Danio rerio: one gene and its partner. The protein of the gene in region 1 interacts with the protein of each later gene in a pairwise test. Links are inferred from orthologs where the notes say so. Each region holds a gene or a part of one and is shown on either strand. Other genes may lie near its edges.

Region 1 (3,567 bases):
CATGCAGCTTCACACTCTTGTTTGTTCCGTTCACACCTCCACATGACATCCTGCACTGCTGGTCAATAATTCACATCTTGTAGAAATATGCTTATATGGCAAGCTGATTATATGATTCATTCATTTATTTTCTTTTCGACTTAGTCCCTTTATCAATACGTGGTCGCCACAGTGGAAGGAACCGCCAACTTATCTAGCACATGTTTTACGCAGCGGATGCCCTTCCAGCCGCAACCCATCTCTGGGAAACATCCATACACACTCATTCTTTCTCATACACTACGGACAATTTAGCCTAATTATCCAATTCACCTGTACCACATGTCTTTGGACTGTGGGGGAAACCGGAGCACCCAGAGGAAACCCACACGAACACAGGGAGAACATGCAAACTCCACACAGTATTGCCAACTGAGCCAGCCGAGGCTTGAACCAGCAACTTTCTTGCTGTAAGGCGACAGCACTACCTACTGCGCCACCGCGTTGCCCTGACTATATTATAAATTCTGCTAAATGACTAAATGTTATTTAAATGTACTTATTTTTCAGATACTTGCAGTGTCTGGTCTGATCTGTTCTGATGTCTGATCTGTTTTTTAAAAAATTATGTTAATAATTAAAATAATAGACATCCATTTGACCACCTCATACCATTGTGAATGCATAATCGCACCAATTAGTCTAACACCAGCAGATTTAGAGCACAGATAGACACCGTAAACGTTCACAAGACATGGAGAAAACAATGTGTTCTCATATAATAGGTGTTGGTTTCTAGATATTGCCTAAAAGTAGCGTAAGATTAGATGCATTATTTGTATAGTATGTCCTAAAATAAGCCGAAATACCTAATCAGGTCAGAATACAGTAAATAGCCTATCCCACAAATCACTTAAAACGCAAATTAATTTTATGAATAAATTAGATGTAATTCAAATGATGAACCCATACATTTTACTCACTGAAGCAGGAATTACGCAAACTAACATTACCAAAAATGTTGACTCAACCTAAAATTTTAAGGGAACAAACTTCAGGACATTTTTAGGTTTTGCTATGCTCAAAATGCTTCATTTACTCAAATGGATTACATTCACAGTACTCATTAGGGTTAGCTTAAATGGTTTGTTGCAATCGGTTTCAAATGGTTTGAGTTATTCTAACTTATTGGCTTTACAGTGTAAAAATAAGATACCTGTATCTAATGAGAAAGTATTATTCATTCATTTTCTTGTCGGCTTAGTCCCTTTATTAATCCAGGGTCGCCACAGCAGAATGAACCGCCAACTTATCCAGCAAGTTTTTACGCAGCGGATGCCCTTCCAGCCTGGGAAACATCCACACACATTCACACACACACTTACACACTACCCACAGCCTACCCAATTCACCTGTACCGCATGTCTTTGGTATGTGGGGGAAACCGGAGCACCCGGAAGAAACCCACACGAAGGCAGGGAGAACATGCAAACTCCACACAGAAATGCCAACTGAGCCGAGGTTCGAACCAGCGACCCAGCGACCTTCTTGCTGTGAGGCAACAGCACTACCTACTGCGCCAGTGTCTCGCCCAAGAAAGTATTAGTATTTATTAAATAAATTAGCTTAAAAACAGTAGTATTTCATTTTAAATATTAAATTTTAAAATGACTTTCTATATACTTCAACAAAAAGGGTTTTGCTGCTTCTACAAACTTACTTACTTAAAATGAGCTGAAAAATCACAATTCTTGAGTTTTTGGGGACAACTTAATTGTTTTATATTCAATCCGCCTAAATTTGTAAAATAACAAAGTTAATGTAATCGATTTGTGTTGGGACAACATGAAAGACTTGTGTGAAACCTAGTAAGATTTTGACAAAGACTTTTTTTACCCCATTGAACACAATATATGTTATTTTAATAAACTTTTTGGAACAGTAGCTTTTAATGTAGAGGTTCCTTTTCTGCTGGAGATACTGTTACTAAAAACTAAATACTTTTACTAAAAAAATAAAATAGTTGTGTAAAAATAAAAAACGAAAAAAATCTTTCATATACCTTAGGATTGGTATAATAGAAAACTTTGGTGTTTAAAACCTTGACTTTTTTTAAACTGCGGTTAACCTTGAAACCGGTTATCATCCTATGCCTAGTGGACCCCCAGCATTTTTTACAGTACAATGTAGTACATTAGTATTTGGCTAATGTTTCTGTCCATCAAATGAATAATTTAGATTGACATGAGATCTAAAATACACCTTCTCCATTTATCACACTGACAGATTCATCAGGCCCGTAAGCTGGTCTGCAGGAAGTGTAAGCGGCATGTAACTGAAGTCAGTGGACGTGTGGTCAGTGAAGGGACCCGCAAATACAGGCTCTGTGACGTTTGCATTCAGGAGAGCGGCTACAATGATTTAATCACAGATGAAACAGATGGAAATGAGGACAAGGAAGGCCTGTTGTTGGGTGTGGACGAGGACATGAGTGAAAACAGGCAAATTACATGGGTCATGGATGATGATGATCTAGCGGAAGATTCTGGAGCCGATCTCATAATCCAGGAAGTGGACGACAGCGACGAGGAAGCAAGTGGAAAGTGATGATAGATTTGTGTGTGATTGTGTGAATGGGCAGAGCTGCCTTATTGGCGGTTTAAGGTCTGTTGAAATTTCATAAGGGAATCTATGTGCGTTTTTGTACAAATAAAACACTTTGTCTTTTAAAAAAATATATATATAAAGTATTAAATATTACTGCTTTTATAAAAGTACAAGTATATTTCTGTAATTGAAAGTATATTTAGCTTATTTCAAGAAGGCTTTTATGGGCACGATGACAGCGTGATCAGTTATTGTTGATACAGAGCTGATCTAATGGAACTTCACTCTGTAATTCTGCCAGATTTCTTGCTTTGACTTCAGTTTTCAGACTTTAGTCAATGCCAGGGCTTACATATATGATTTTATGTTTTATGCTGCATGGAGTCCAGGCGACCTACTTTTTGTGATGTGTAACAGACTCATTTATTTATTTTCAACAAAACAAATTATCAGTCACAGGCCAAACATAAACAGCGTCTAAATAAAATATTGTATATATGAATGAATGTGTTTATGCTTCACTCTGGATGTGTCACCTTTTGCTATTTGTCTTGCTTTTGACATTCAATTTATTTGTGTTTCGATTTATTTGGACAAAAGAAAATATATTTTATACACATGCAATGTGCGTATGAATCGTCATTTACATTATACCCACATAAAAGAGGAGAGTACGTTCACACATTCCAACATTTAACACAAACCCTAGGAATTTTTCACTTTTTGAGCAAACATTGAGTTCCTTTCAGTGCATTGGGTATGGCAAGCTCTGTTAACATTAACTTTTAACATTAAGATAACAGTATCTTCATAGACAAATTATTATTTATTAGTGCATAATATACTGTAGCACAATATGATAGATTATATATTAATATTTAAAATGAGATCTAGTGTCTATTTAATAAGTAAAATAATCTTAGAAATTTAATGACTGAATATTATTATATAAAATTGTTCAAGTCATAAATGGAAAACATA
Region 2 (4,164 bases), on another chromosome or scaffold:
TTTGTTGTTTTGTATAAAAGTGGTGTTGTCATATTGGAGGTTTTGTAGTTAAGATGTCAGCTTTGAAGAAGTCCAGAAAATAATTTCAGACCACTTACCTTTTTTTCGTCCTCATCCATATCTGCTAAAAAGGTGAAATCATTATCTCCATTGGCCGAACTCTGTATAAAATAGAATATATAAATAAATATATATATATATATATATATATATATATATATATATATATATATATATATATATATATATATATATATATGTATATATTTGGTGATGGCAGCTTAAAGACGTCTCTCATATGGAGAATGATGTCACATGCATTGCTCAGGTGATTTTTTTCCACAGACTTCAAGAGTGTAAAGATCTTGATGGTTCTGTAGGTCTGAAGCAGCTAATATAAATTTACCATGATGAAGGGCAGAGAGTTGCTAAACAACAGAGAGGGGTCTGGATGCAGACCTGGTGCAGTGCAATCTGAGCTGGATCCAATGCTTTTTAATGTGCTCACCTAACCCCACACCTAACTCTACCCGTCACAGTGACGTCACTCATTCGATTGAGTGCATTGTGTCTAACACTGCATCGCTGAGTGATGCAATCTCAGCTTGCATCATAAAGGCTGCATACAGATACAATTGAAACAACTACTGAGAGATTTCAGCTGTCTGTGCTTTCACTGCCTCTTTACAGCTTCCTTTCTTCATGTGTTCCCTTTTCCCTGTCATTTCATTTTACCACACATAAATTAATTTGTTAACTAATTAGATTTTGCATAGATAGATTTCTTTTGTTGTTATCAACATCCCGTGATATTTTCAAGTCAACGCCACCTTTAGAAATATGTTTTCTACAAATGGTCACATCTAAAAAAAAACTACTTATTTTCCCTGCTGTAGCTATATAGATAATTAAAAATGACTAAAAACCACAAGCATCAAACACACATAGCCTACAGGAGCACTCCATAGGTGTGTAATGTATTTTTAATAATGTAAAACACTTATCAAATGGCCTGTTTTTGAATAAACTAAATGGAAAAAATCATGTTGTCAGAATAAAGAGGAAATGTATACATACCTTAAGTAGCAGTGCTAGCAAACAACCACACAGAACACAGATGTACACTCCTGACTTCATTTTCAGTCATAAGTGTTGGAGGTCTTGGAGAGGTTTCAGCAGTTTGTTTAGTATGTCAAACCTGACTTTCAGCTGGGAGGAGCCATGATCAAACTGATGGTCATTCACCTGCTAATGTTACATCCTGATCAAACTATTGCAGTCCATGCAGGGTTGGTTGACTTTAACTGACTCACGCATTGATTCAGTAGCTTTTGATTTGTAACCAAGACTCTCAAAATGTCAACACAAAAATATAGGCTACTTAAAAATACACAAATAGTGTCTTTGAATGTTGAAATATTTTATAACGTTTACACTGATTTCCCCATCAGTAATTCATCATTAAATAAATTTTAATTAATTTTTGGCAGTACAAAACTATTTATTATGCTGCCTGACATCACTAGTCTTTATCGTAACTGGTAAACACAGTTCAGTTATTCTTAACGCTACTGTAATATTAACGTGTATTTTATATCAGAGTTAGTTTTTTTGTTAATACCTTTACACTTTAAAGTTTTTCTTTTGATGTTGGCAAGTTTGGTACCTGGACAATATGACAATAATGTTTGCAAATTAATATTTTTGGCTTCACAAAGGTGTTGCGCCGCGCATGCTCGATTTATTGTCATAGCAACAGCACTGTATCCAACAACAGCGAGGCTGTGTGTCGGTTACACAGGTGAGTTTCTGACGTTTCTAACCGCTAGGTTTACTATTATTATGATTTACTGGTTCTAGATTCAAAACGCGACATTTTAATGAACTATTTGGACAATATTTTTCGTGCTGTATGTACAGGAATCATGAGTTCACATGGCTCTACAGTAAAGGTGTATATTCGCATCCGACCCACAGCCAGTTTTGCCCATGAGCTTATTGAATGCCTGCCAGACCAGCAGGTAAACACACTTGTCTTTTTTACAGTAAATACACCTCCTAGAGCTTATATAACAGCACAATGTATGCCAGTATATTTTTACAAATAATAAAATACAGTATCGATGACTATAACGGCCTAATACATTTATTATATTAAACTTTACAGAAACGTAAAAAAGATAAAGTGTAAATCGCTTACCTTAAAGTAAATTTTCTTAAATTACATTTCATAGATATATTGTATGTGGTAGCTATTTTGGTTTTCAATATAACATTAAAGCATGTTATTCCGTATACTTAGAGAAAAACATAAATGTCCCAAACGATAAAAGGTAGACAGATTATAATATAAAATATGTGACATTGAAGAGGAAAGAGGGGAAATTATTTAGATAGAAATTAAACTAGTGGATCTCTGTAAAACTTTTAAAGAAGGATTATTATTATTATAGTGGTGCGTAAATTATTATTTTACCTTCAGCAAGTCTTGAGATCACAGGTGAATAACACAGCACACATTATCTGAGCCCAACCACTGGAAACGTGTCCACATTAAAAAAAAGATTGTATGAAAGTAATATTTAAGACTGAGTGTCACTGTCCTTCTGTTTGTTTTTTCTGAGACTTTAAGAGTACGATCAAGGAAGGGTTCCAAGAAAGGAAAGAGAAATAATCATGTGAGGTTATTTCAGCTGAATGGGGTGCTGTATAATGTGTCACAAGAGGACCTGTATGATCGTGTTGCCCGGAGTGTAGTGCTGGGAGCATTCAAGGGCTACAATGGTTGGTCATTTGAAAACGTTTGGCATTTCCTGAAATCACAAACCAAGTTAAAACATTAAAAATAAAGTGCTTGGTAATTTTTTTGGTGTGTTTAGGTACAATAATGTGCTTTGGGCAAACCGGAGCAGGGAAAACTTACACAATGACTGGTGCTGCAGAGACTTACAAACAGAGAGGCATCATTCCTCGAGCCATACAAGAGGTGATTGATACCCATGATCAACAAGCACACGTTTATGATTTATGGGCTATAAACCATCTGTCAATTCCTTAGGTTTTCCAGGAAGTGGAACAGCGTGCAGATTATACCTTCTCTGTTCATCTTTCCTTTCTGGAAATCTATAATGAGACTATGGTAGACTTGCTCTCCAGCTTAAAGCAGGGAAAGGCTCCAGGTAGTGGTCTCTTCACTGTGGTCGAAGAACCAGGTGGCGGAGTGTCAGTTAAAGGCTTGTCTGTACATCTGGTTCACAATGAAGAAGAGGCTCTTAATCTGCTTTTCGAGGTGAGAGTCATGAGTTGTGCATGTCAACAGATGATCAGCTGATGTGATCAGCTTAATATACAGTATTGAATATAGTTGTTTCTTAGCCCTTACATTGTTGCCAGGGATTTTCAATCAGGTGTAAATCAGAACTCTGGACTAGCCATTACAATATTTCAATGTTTTATGCATAGATAATATACATTAGATATAGCATACAGACCCGGAGCATGCGTCAATAGAGTCGCCACAGTTGTACAGTGCTCCCAGGACAAATGTCATTCAACCGCACTAATCAAGACTAAAGCCGATCTGAAGATGCTGGACTTTAGCGCTGTGTAGGGGTGTAGTAATGAGCAAACAAAGAAAACAAAGTACAAAGGCAGAACATTTCATAGGTAAGATTTAGTTTTTTATGTTTTATATATAACAAACTTTTGTGCTCAACGTACCACTAACTCAAATACTAGGCTTATGTTAGTTTGATTGAATAAAATCAACAAACAATGTAAATGAAATATGACGAGATGCAGCGGTGCTAGAAATTATTGTCAGCTAAGAGAACGTCGTTCATAACAAATTCATTTACAAACAAATCAAATTTAACAGGTAGGGAAGATAATACATTTTCATGCACACAAACACATGCTCTTTATCAGGAATGTCCGTGCTGTCCCTTATCCATTTATATAGAAAAGTGATGTAAAATTATATCCTACATAATTAAAAAAAATTAGCATTTTGATCAACGGGACAACTACAGATCATCGATATATGTATATATGTGTATATATCTCTGGCTCTGGATGGCCAGTCCTCTTCTGCACCTTGGTCCAACATTAATTTCAAAGGAGCGCTACCCTGTACTAAATGCCGGCTCTATTGACACATTCCTT

Evidence for each region. The genes of interacting proteins can lie anywhere in the genome.
Region 2: the proteins of zbtb8a (region 1) and kif9 interact in binary tests that used the Homo sapiens proteins (3 or more experiments, as listed by UniProt). The two-hybrid records come from large-scale screens. The link is inferred for Danio rerio from reciprocal best matches to the Homo sapiens genes ZBTB8A and KIF9.

Annotation. Positions count from the first base shown.
Region 1 is NC_133192.1:26,253,624-26,257,190, reverse strand, and holds the end of zbtb8a (zinc finger and BTB domain-containing protein 8A), read left to right. Parts: intron 1-2,265; coding exon 2,266-2,586; 3' UTR 2,587-3,088; downstream 3,089-3,567. UniProt on the Homo sapiens protein: May be involved in transcriptional regulation.
Region 2 is NC_133182.1:41,641,644-41,645,807, reverse strand, and holds the start of kif9 (kinesin-like protein KIF9), read left to right. Parts: upstream 1-1,364; 5' UTR 1,365-1,506; coding exon 1,507-1,541; intron 1,542-1,718; coding exon 1,719-1,801; intron 1,802-1,920; coding exon 1,921-2,021; intron 2,022-2,624; coding exon 2,625-2,784; intron 2,785-2,879; coding exon 2,880-2,986; intron 2,987-3,058; coding exon 3,059-3,289; intron 3,290-4,164. Other genes in the region: si:dkey-86l18.10 (uncharacterized protein LOC100535291 precursor), read right to left, coding at 99-161, 1,078-1,137. UniProt on the Homo sapiens protein: Essential for normal male fertility and for progressive motility of spermatozoa.